Linked DNA regions of Sus scrofa. The protein of the gene in region 3 purifies or fractionates together with the protein of the main gene of each other region. This does not show direct contact. Links are inferred from orthologs where the notes say so. Each region holds a gene or a part of one and is shown on either strand. Other genes may lie near its edges.

What was found. The genes of interacting proteins can lie anywhere in the genome.
Region 1: the proteins of TMUB1 (region 3) and RNF170 purify together in Homo sapiens (affinity purification with mass spectrometry; 3 studies listed by BioGRID and IntAct, with this or other methods). This does not show direct contact. The link is inferred for Sus scrofa from reciprocal best matches to the Homo sapiens genes TMUB1 and RNF170.
Region 2: the proteins of TMUB1 (region 3) and RNF185 purify together in Homo sapiens (affinity purification with mass spectrometry; 5 studies listed by BioGRID and IntAct, with this or other methods). This does not show direct contact. The link is inferred for Sus scrofa from reciprocal best matches to the Homo sapiens genes TMUB1 and RNF185.

Annotation. Positions count from the first base shown.
Region 1 is NC_010459.5:11,783,421-11,786,920, reverse strand, and holds part of RNF170 (E3 ubiquitin-protein ligase RNF170), read left to right. Parts: intron 1-1,027; coding exon 1,028-1,138; intron 1,139-3,500. UniProt on the Homo sapiens protein: E3 ubiquitin-protein ligase that plays an essential role in stimulus-induced inositol 1,4,5-trisphosphate receptor type 1 (ITPR1) ubiquitination and degradation via the endoplasmic reticulum-associated degradation (ERAD) pathway.
Region 2 is NC_010456.5:47,973,884-47,977,383, reverse strand, and holds part of RNF185 (E3 ubiquitin-protein ligase RNF185), read right to left. Parts: intron 2,405-3,500; coding exon 2,287-2,404; intron 14-2,286; coding exon 1-13. UniProt on the Homo sapiens protein: E3 ubiquitin-protein ligase that regulates selective mitochondrial autophagy by mediating 'Lys-63'-linked polyubiquitination of BNIP1.
Region 3 is NC_010460.4:6,141,048-6,145,250, reverse strand, and holds TMUB1 (transmembrane and ubiquitin-like domain-containing protein 1), read right to left. Parts: upstream 2,801-4,203; 5' UTR 2,762-2,800; intron 1,832-2,761; 5' UTR 1,802-1,831; coding exon 1,413-1,801; intron 1,156-1,412; coding exon 804-1,155; 3' UTR 356-803; downstream 1-355. UniProt on the Homo sapiens protein: Involved in sterol-regulated ubiquitination and degradation of HMG-CoA reductase HMGCR. Involved in positive regulation of AMPA-selective glutamate receptor GRIA2 recycling to the cell surface.

The sequences.
Region 1 (3,500 bases), on a different chromosome or scaffold from region 3:
CAGTATCAAGTATTACCTTTTTGATTGTGATAGAAATGGGTGCTTGAGAGCTGGTTCCTGCAATAACATCATCTCTGTATTAATGGTTGGTTGCATTCAAAGATCATTCAAGTACCAGCAAGGATAAGGAATCATGATTTTAATCAAAAATGAAATCCCTAGCAGTTCCCACCAATGGCGCAGTGGGTTGAGAATCTGACTGCAGGAATTTCTGTCGTGGCTCAGTGGTTAACGAATCTGACTAGGAACCATGAGGTTTTGAGTTCGATCCCTGGCCTTGCACAGTGGGTTAAGGATCCGAAGTTGCCTTGAGCTATGGTGTAGGTCACAGACGTGGCTCTGATCCCACGTTGCTGTGACTCTAGCCTAGGCCGGCAACTACAGATCTGATAGGACCCCTAGCCTGGGAACCTCCATATGCCATGGGTGCGGCCCTCGAAAAAGACAAAAAAAAAAAAAAAAAAAAAGTGGCTCAGGTCTCTCCAGAGGCTCAGATTTGATCCCCAGCCCAGTGCGATGAGTTAAATGATCTGGTGTTGCCTCAGCTGCAACCTATGGCTCGGATTCAGTCCCTGGCCCCGGAACTTCCAAGTGCAGTGAGTGTGGCCAAAAAAGAAAAAAAAGAAAAAAAAAAAAAAAAGAAATCCCTAATTTTTCTCTCTCAAAGTTATAGGTATATATTTCTCTGTCATTTTGCTCCTGAATATTTTCTCATCATTGTTATATCTTTAAATATCTGTTAGCCCAAAGAGAAAACTACTGACTTTATCCCTGTCATGGATTGGAAAATATTTAAATAAGGTGCCCGTTTTACGTTACAGGAGTTCACATTATATTTTGAATTGGGTTTTCTTGTAAGGCAATGATAACTTACTTTCCTCCCCTGTGGTGCCTGTGTCAAAAGAAATGAGCAAAATACCAATTTGGAAGCTTTTCTCATTCTACTGAATAGTAATAAAGTGAAAAAAATCACTGGTACAGAAAAGTGTAACAATTTCTTTTTTTTTTTTTCCCCTGTAATATGCAGGTAACTTTACTCCTAACAGTATTTGGTGAAAATGACCAGTCTCAGGACGCAATATCACTGCATCAGGATGTTAATGATTATAATCGGAGATTCTCAGGGCAGCCCAGATCTGTAAGTAATGATACAGCAGGTGCACAGTTAAAATGTAATGATACTTCTCCTTTGTATACTGAGGTTTTACCGACAGATGTTCTTTGATTCTGAAAAATCTGTATGTCTTGCATAAAGTTTGTACCTTCATCATTGTTGTCCTTACTGAGTTATAGCTTTCCCAAGGACTACAATTTTCTATCTTAAGGGGAAAAAAGGGCATTATAAAACTTTATGAAGTGATGCCAGCAATAGAAAAAAATTGGAAGGAAATGTAAAATTCTTGAAATAGGGTTTGTCATGTGAGAAACTTACAGCTGAGAACTTCTGGAGTTTTACCGTTGTGTTTTATTCTTATTTTACTTACCCTGGCCCCCAGTTTGAAATGTTCCCTTTAGTAACCCTAAGTTTGGGGGGTTTTCTATGTCAGCTATTCAAAAGCATTCCACTTTAAAGAATATATCAATTCTACAATTGCTCCTCTTCCCCCAAAAGGCATTTGATAGATTAAAATTCTGTCACATTATACTGATTCATCCCAGGTTTCTCAAAATTTAACAAAGAATTATAGAAGTGTGTGTCTGACTGAACATTTATTTCGAGACCCGGAGCATACTAAGTGCAAATTCACATGGGGAGCCTAAGCTGTCCTCCAAGCTCTGGCCTCCCATGTTCCCCTGCTCAGCCTCCATCTTGCCAGGATGCTCCTGGCATCTCAGGCTTAACACAGACAACCTGGCCCTGTTCCCAGTCACTCAGCTTAGTGGGTTTTCTTTGTTTTTTGTTTTTTTTGTTTTTTTGCTTTTTAGGACTGCACCCATGGCATATGGAGGTTCCCAGGCTGGGGGTCTAGTTGAAGCTGCAACTGCCAGCCTATACCACAGCCATAGCAATAAGGGATCCAAGCCTCGTATGCAGCCTACATCACAGCTCACAACAACGCTGGATCCCTAACCCATTGAGTGAGGCCAGGGATCGAACCTGCTTCCTCACGTGGATGCTAGTTGGGTTTGTTACCACTGAGCCACGATGGGAACTTACCACTCAGCTCAGTTTTGATGTCCTCCTCTGATCTCTGAAGAAGTCAGAGATCATGTCTTTTCTCTTTTGGGGGGATCCTGACATTTTTATCTCATAAGAATGTCCTGTGTCTATAGCCATCAAACTAGTCCCAGCCACCACCATCTCTTGCTTAGCCAACTTGCAATGGCCTCTTCGCTTGGAGTTTTTTTTCTCTGCACAGCAGCCTGAGTAATATTTTGAAAACACAAGTAAGGCCATGATATTTTTGTATTTTAAAGCTTCCAGTTTTTGGAATAGCGTCTGAACTCTTGGCTGCAGCTTACAAAGACGGTCCGGTCCCCCTCCCCCTCCCCAGGACATGCTCCACGCCTCCCACCTTCATGCCTCATGCGTGCCTTTTGCTCTGCTTGGATTGCATGTCCCTCTGCTCCTCTCCTGGCTTTCTCATCCTGCAGGGCGTTCCTATGTAGACCTTTCTTGGAGAGGCTGCCCTGATCAACCAGGATGGTCTCTGTCATTGCCCTCAGCCTTGTTCACTACCTTTCTCTCAGGAGGCAAGCTTCATGAGGGCAGGGACCCTGGTTAGTCATTACTATAGTCTCAGTGCCTGGGATATAATGGGCCCTTAACATCTGTGGAATTAATGGTTATCATCCTTAAGATAGGATGGATACCACGACTCCCAGCCAAGAATAGATGCTGTTAAAATGCTTCTGTATTAAACAGTTGTGACTGCCTGTGCTCCTTGGTACACACTGTCCATCATCCTGTGATGTCATGGACATTTCAAGGCATACAGGCTCACCTGTTGTGGATGGCAATGTGCAGATCTTTTTAGAAGTTTAAACAACAAGAGAAGTGTGACCCAGTCACTGTTGTCCTCCCTAGCTGTTTGGAGCCTCTTCTCTTTCTCATCCAGCAATTTTCTTACATGTCCACTACTGGTTTCTTAGGATGTTTCTCTGAAAATCAGTGATTCAAAGTCAAGAACTACCACTGAACTTAAAAAAAAAATCATTTTAAGGAGTTCCCATTGGAATTCCTGTCGTGGTGCAGTGCTTAACGAATCCAACTAACTGTGGGGTTTCGGGTTCGATCCCTGGCCTTGCTCAGTGGTTGAGGATCTGGCGTTGCCATGAGCTGTGGTGTAGGTTGCAGACGCGGCTTGGATCCCGCATTGCTGTGGCTGTGGTGTAGGTCAGCGGCTACAGCTCCGATTGGACCCCTAGCCTGGGAATCTCCATGTGCCATGAGAGCGGCCCTAGAAAAAAGGCAAAAAAAAAAAAAATAGGAGTTCCCATTATGACTCAACAGTAACGAACTCGAGTAGCACTCGGGTTCGATCCCTGGCCTCGATCAT
Region 2 (3,500 bases), on a different chromosome or scaffold from region 3:
GTTCCAGGGACAGCTGGAGGGACAGGAGGGAGAAGAGGTTGTGAGAATGCTACAGCTGTGCACACTGCCCTCCAGAGTCAGAGGTCGAGAGTGTCAGCCTTCATCACTTTACAACAATCCTGCTCACTAAAATGATTTCCAGGAGTTCCTTTGTGGCACAGTGGGTTAAGGATCAGGGGTTGTCACTGAAGTAGGTTGGGTCTCTGCTATGGAATGGGGTCAATCCCTGGCCCGGGAAGTTCCATATACCATGGGCATGGCCAAAACAAAAAAATATTTCCAAACTCCAAATAATCTTAGACAAAACAAAACCAGAATTATGAAAACATATGGAATCATACAATAATGAGGACAAAGTCTCCCATTTATTCTAAGAGGGTTTGGCCTGCAGGTGCAAATAGAACTGGAAAGTCTTGGAAAAAGAAAAGCTACTGTTTGTTGGGCATCTTTTATGTGCTGTTTTGTATATATACATTATTGCTTGGTATTATTATCCATTTTGTATATGTAAGTCCTTACTGAAGCACAGGTATGTGGGGACCTGCCAGAGACCTGGAGGTCCATGAGTTAGTGGGGATGCCACAGAGCTGTGCTCTTAGCCTCTCAGCATGCTGCCTCCTAAGTCATGGAGTCTCTAGATTCTGGCATTGTTGGGCCAGGTGGGGTCTCAGGGAGCCCTGAGTGGGGCACCTTCCCTTTCCAGAGGCGAAAACTAGGCCCCAGACAGGCAAAACGACCTGTCTCCCTCTTGCATAACAAACTAGGGGCAGAGGTGGGCTAAGAACTTGGATTTCCACTTCTTTCTGCTTTGAGAAAAGCTAATATGAACTCCTTGTCCTGACCATGGGAAAGAGTTAAAAGAATCTATATCCCAGATGGGCAAACTGTCCAAACATGACAACAGAAAACTGTCTTTAGCTGTAGCAGGGGGTAAACTGATCCAGAGTCCAGCCTGGCTGCGGAATTCTGTTTACATGGGGAAACCAGGGTGAGCCCTAGGCTAGGTTGGATGGAAACAAGCTACCAGGCAGATTCCTGCTGCTTCCATGGGGCCCTGTCCCTCCTTTAGAGCAGAACACACCCTGCCCTGTGGGGTCTCTTCCCTCTGAGCAAACCCTATGTGAACAAAGGGAAACCTCTGAAGTAAGGAAGGGCAGTCCCATGACCTCTTGGTGTTTTACTGTTCCCCTCTTAGATCTCTGATGGAGTCAGGCAGCCAGCAGTCAACAAAGACTTATCGACTGAATGCTGTGTGTCAGGCACCATGGTGGGGACAGGGGACAAATGGGATCGCTCAGGAGAGGTTACTGTCCCCAGAGCATAAACCCCTGGCCAGGAGCCATGCACTGGTCCCTCTGTACCTCAACTGTGCTCAGCCCACATGAGGCCCCGGTGAGTGCAAGCAGAGCTCAACCAACCTCAGCATCTCTAAAGGCTCCAGGGTCAGAATCTGGGCCCGGGCCTCAGATCATGACTGAGCCCAGGGCCCCCACCTCGCCACCCTGCTCTATACCAAATGCCACTGACAGTCTCACACTGGCTGGAGGGAGAAAGGTAGCAGTGGATGGCAGACCAAGGCAGAGTTCCCAAAGAGCTGGGGCTTAGGACCAGGCCCACATGTGTCCTGAGGGAAGCTGGCTGGAGATGCCAGAGAATAGAGACCTTGACTCCCTGTGGATGCCTCTTCCTCCAAGCCCTCATGGTCAAAGTGGGGGGTTCGTGCCTAGGACTAGGCTTTTACTCAGGGCACACAGTTTACGGTTTTTTTTTTTAGGGCCGCACCCATGGCATATGGCAGTTCCCAGCCTAGGGGTCAAATCGGAGTTGTAGCCGCTGGCCTACACCACAGCCACAGCAATGCCAGATCCGAGCCGCATCTGCGACCTATAGCACAGCTCATGGCAACATGAGATCCTTAATCCACTGAGCGAGGTCACAGATTGAACCTGCATCCTCTTGGATCCTAGTCAGATTTGTTTCCACTGAGTCACAAAGGGAACTCCTATGCTTTTTCATTTTATGTCTTGGGAAAAATTACTGAGCATTTTTTGTTTATAAAATGGAGCTAAAGTCCCACAGGCTTATGGTAAGGATCCCACGCTTATAATGGAAAGCACTCTGAACATGCCTTATCCTTGGTAAGGTTGCAACATCATTACTATGTCTACTAGTAATCGGAAAAGATTTTAGCACATTTTGCAAAGGCCGATTATCCATGTAGTAACCTACATACTGCCAAATTCCAAGGATCCTTCAAGAAAAATGACGAAGAGAATAGGGTCCTACCTGGAGGAGGTCGCCCATCGTTTATGTTAAATGCTGTGGCAAATATCCCAAAGGGAAATGCCCCAATTCCAAAAGACATCTGGAAGCCACCATCTCCAAATCCAAACCCTTGAAATCCCTGAAATGAATAAATGAAGTTCAGAACAATAAACACATTTCTCCTGCATCTGTCAAATGTGTCACTTTACGTGTGGCACATGCTTCTCCTCCCTACCCTCTTTTCCTCCCATCTAGATCCCAAGGTAGAGGAACCCTGGTGGCCCTCTGCACTTCTAGCCATCAAGGGGAGGGACTGGCTCTAGCCCAATGTAAAACTCTGCTGATAAGTAAGGGATCTCAGGGCTCTGGCTTTCCCAGACTCCCACAACAGCCAGTTAAAATTTTCTATGTGCTTTAAAACAGCCAAATTGGCAATAAGTTCTATGCCCAATTACAAGGGAACTTCAGGACAAGCTACACAATGTCTGTAACAGCAAAAAAGTGGAACCCTGATTAGCCAACAATGGAGGTCATGATCAAAATCTTGGTACATCCTCTCAAAGAACATTACGCTAATTATGCAGCAACACAGAAAAACCCCTGTGACCAAGTTATCTCACAAAACTGTTCCGACGCCATGGTTGCAAGTATATGACAATATGCAGATATGTGGCAAAGTATGGATAAGTATTTTCCCTCAAATTTTTCCTTTAATATTACAGAAAATTTAAAAATTCAATATATTTTTTCTGATTGCAAAAGATATGCTTTTGAGAAATTCATATATTACAGAGGTCTCCTTGTTCACCTCCCACTTTACAACCCCTCCTGCCAATAACCACTGTCAGCAGTTTGGGATCATCCTCAGCTTTTTCCCTCTATAACATGTTCTACACTGCATCATCTTTCACATGAAAAGATTTGGTAGAAATTATAATATTGTAAATAGGTCAACTCCTATTTTTTAAGTGCCAACTGTGTTGGGCATTGTGTAAAGCACTAGGACACTCAAATCACATTTAATTCTCACATCAGCATCACCCACATTTACAGATGACCAAACTGAGGCTTGGAGAGGGGAAATAACTTGACCAAGATCACAAATCTAGGAAGGAGCAGAGTTTAGATCTAAAACTAGTCAATACAGTCTGAAAACCCACATTCTTAAAAATTGCACATCTTTAAAAAATTCCTCTCCTCCCTCACATCTCTGGGTAGATTTTTAGAACAAATTA
Region 3 (4,203 bases):
AATCGCGGCACGGTCCTCCGCCAGCGGAGACGTGGCTCCCGTCAGGCCCCGCGCGCCAGGGTGCCGCGCGCCCCGCCCCCTGCTTCTGGGAAGCTGCGCGCGCGGCTCCGGGGCGGGGGCGGGACTAGGAGCGGGGCGGAGCCCAAGGGCGAGGAGCCGAGGATGCAGCGAAAAGCAGAGGGGAAGTCGGCAGCCAGCCTGGGCAGGTTGGGCAGGGCGAAGTGCCTGGTAAGTGGGAGCGCCCAGCACGGAACCTAGGACCGTCCGGCTGCGGATCCCGCGTTCTACCGTCTTTCTCCCAGTGGGCAGGAGCTCCCTGCCCCACGGGCCCACACAGGCAGGCACACACCAAGAGTGAAAACTTCACAGTTATTTAATCTGCACATGTTCCAGAGAACCCCCTCCTTCCCACCCACGCTCCCGTCCTTGGGTCCCTAAATCAGCTCAAGATGCTCTCAGGGACTAGAGGTGGCTGGGTTTTCAGGCAGAACACTAAGAAGGGCCTAGGGGCGTGGCCGGGCTCTGCCCAGGGCCGAGGCAGCGACAGCAGCTGTCTGACCCGGAGGAGCTGACTGTCCGTGGGGGCTGAGGGCCAGCAGCCCCAGAAGGTGGCCCAGAGCCATGAAGGTCACAGGGAGGGGCCTCCGCCGGCCCCCGGAGCGCTCTGCGGCGCAGGGCTGGGCTCCAGGGTAGTGGGAAGAGGCAAGTGGGAGAGGCCGGCCGGGGCAGACAGCAGCTCCCACCGTGTCGTGGGGAGCAAGGTCCGGAGGGGCCAGCGACACTGCCAAGAGCCCGTGGAGGCACTACGGGCGGTACATGGCAAAGGCCAGGAGACTGAGGAGTAGGGTGAAGCCGGCCAGACCCAGGGTGGCTGTCAGGGGAAAGAAGGGCCGGTACTGGATCTGGCAGTACCAGAGCAGCAGCAGCAGCAGCAGGAGCAGGGGCAGCAGGAGGCTGCCTACCTCCAGCCCGGAGGGGCCTGGCTCTGACCCCGGTGGGCAGGGTGGGTGTGGGGGACCCACCCGGGTGGACACGTGGCAGTGGAGAACGCAGTTGGGAGGGAGGTGAAGGCTGCCCAGGGTCTGGGTGTCGTCTCCTAGCAGCTGCCCTTGGTAGATGAGTCGCACGTGCTGCTCCCGTCCGGGAAACTGGGTCCTGAGGAGAGAGGGACCTGGGTAATAGAGCAGGTCTCAGGCAATCCTGGCCCCTCGCCCAGAACAACTCTCTCACTTCTCTCCTCCACCTACCACCCAGGGCTCCCTCCGCAGGGGCCTCTCCTGCTTCAGAGGAACAATACCGTGTGAGTGGCTTGGGGACCTCAGTTCCCATCAGCATCTCTGGTGGCCCTTCCACGCTGTGACCATTCCCACCCGACTCATTACCACTTCAACCCCGTCCTCTTCCCAGCTTACCTTTTCAGGGAGCCAATGGTGTCGTGGGGCCAGGCCCTGGCCACCTGCTCTGAATCGTTGAGGAATTTCAGCCGTAGCACGAGGGGCTCTTGGGGGGAGTCCTGGGGTGGCGGTGTGGCCGGGAGCCCCATGCCAGACTCTGGCTGTGCAGCCTGACCTCTGTGTCTCAGGCTCGGGGTCTCAGCTCCTGGGGCCTCCCCTCTGATGCTGTCAGTGACCGCCATGGCTTCGCTGGGCTGTGTTGATGGTGGGGTCCCTGATGGCTGGGACAGTGGATCCACGCCCTCGGCAGTGTGTGTTGAGACCCAGGCGAGAGCCAGCACCAGAAGGCAGGCAAGCACCGCGAAAAGGATGGTCACCTCATCACCCACCCCTTCAATCAGGGCCATGGCACCTGCCTTGCCCGCTGGGCTACCGAGCTGGAGAGGCACAAAGAACCCATGAGGGGCTGGCTCAGCCTCCAAGAGCCCTCTGAACTTCAGGGGCGTCCGACCCCACCCCACTACAACTCTCCCACAGTCCCAATTCCTTTGCCCACTTAGCCACACCCCACCCTGGGACACAGACTGCTCTCCCTCTTGCTTGCCCCAGACTTGGGTCACATGCCCCTTCCCATCACCAAACCCCAAGTCCTAATTTTTTGTAACCTAAGTTCTAGGTCTTTAACCAGCTCTCCAATTCACCCACATCCTACTCAGAGGTCAGGCCTTGACCTTCTAAGCAACCTCTCCCCTAAATTCAACCCCCATCAAACTTCACCCCAAAGCTTACCTATTCTTTCCATCTAATTCATCCCAAAGTTTATCTATTCCTCCATCACTAAAGTTTCTCCAAGGGGGAAGAAAAAGGTCTCCAGACACACACAGACACACAAAAGGCTTTCCTCCACGAACACACACACACACACACACACACACACACACACACACACACACACACAGCACACCCCCGCCCCTTTACTATTTACCCAAACCTCCCACCCGTAACACGATACAGTTTCCTAAAGCTTCCCCACGTCGAAACGAGCCCTTTGGCAAACTGGAATCTCCGAGGGTCGCTGCTCCCCACCGCAACTCGGCCCCCCTCGGTCCACTCAAACTCCACCCCGAGTCGGCCCAGTTCCGCGCCTCCTCTTAGACGCCTCTCCAAACCTAGCCCGCAGCAGGACCCCAGATACCGCCGGAATCCGAGACTTTAGCCTCCCCACCCCCATCCTCCATCACCCCTCCCATCTTCCCGCCCGCCCCCCAACCCCAGCGGCGGGAGTGCCAGACCGATCCCGGGGCGGGGCGAGCGGGGGCCAGCTGGCGGGGGCGGCGGGGTGGGCGCGGTCAGAACGCAGGACTCACCGCCCGGCTCCGCCAGCTCCATAGCGGACCCTCGGGCACTTCCGGGCGGGAGGTGGCGAGGTCGCAGACACCTGGAGGCACCCTCCGCTTCCCCGCCGTGCGAAGTATTGTGGGACTTGTAGTCCAGCGCGGTGCGCAGTCCCCGCCTTCCGCGCTGCGGATCCACGGGCAGGACTCGGCTGTCTCGTCCCAGTGCCCGCAAATTGCTGAGGGGACGGCGGGGTTGGGTTTGGGGGGTGTGCTCTCCCGTAGAGGTTTGGGCGACAGCAGGGACAGCCCCCTGCCCGGGGCAGTTGGGGCATCTGTTACTCCAGAAACCAGCGTTAGCTGGAGCTTGTTAGAGCACCACTGTTTCCAGAAGCAGCATCGGGGAAGCTCGAGTGGATCCTACCTTGGCCTACTCTTCTTTCTTTTTACAGCCGCACCTGCGGCACATGGGTGTTCCCAGGCTAGGGGTCGAATAGGAGCTGCACCTGCCGGGCTGCACCACAGCCTTAGCAACACCAGATACGAGCTGCATCTGCGACCTACACCACAGCTCACAACGCTGGATCCTTAACCCTCTGAGTGAGGCCAGGGATCCATGCCACATCCTCACACTGTGTCGGGTTTTTAATCCGCTGAGCCACAACAAGAACTTTAAGTCAGAGTGGACCCCAGAAGTCATCCTGGATCCTCCAAATTGACTCTTCAGCCCAGCGCCCAGTATCCATGGGCTTCCCCACCAGGCTGGCCACGGTGGCTTGGGCTGCTTATTTACCAGGTCCCCTCCTCCCCTTTCCCCCGAAAGACTGTGCAAGAGGCATAGACTTTGGAACGTGGCACAAATGCTGATCCCTTATCCTGTGCTTATCAACTATGTGACCTTGGGTGCTTTACTGAATGTCTTTGAACCTAAATTTCTCTGTTCCCAACACATACCTCAAAAGGCAATTGTGGAGTTCCTGTTGTAGCTCAGCGGGTTAAGAATCTGACTAATCGACCCCTAGCCTGGGAACCTCCATATGCCACAGGAGTGGCCCTAGAAAGGGCAAAAAGACAAAAAAAAGAATCTGGCTAGTATCCATCAAGATGCAGGTTTGATCCCTGGCCTCACTCAGTGGGTTAAGCATCCATCGTTTCCATGAGCTGTGGTGTAGGTCACAGACTCGGCTCTGATCTGGCGTGGCTGTGGCTGTGGCGTAGGCCAGCAGCTGCAGCTCCGATTTGATCCCTAGCCTGGGAACCTCCATACGCCTCAGGTATGGCCCTAAAAGAATAAAAAATACAAAAAAAATTTTTTTAAAGGCAATTGCAAGAAAAATTAGGTGTTTTATTAAATAAGTGTGAAAATTATGCAGAGGAGCTGTCACACGGTGGATATTTGTTCACTTAGTATTAGAACACTCCTTCCACCCAGATCTTAGAGTGTTGCTATGTAGGGGATGTCGAGCCTCAGCCTG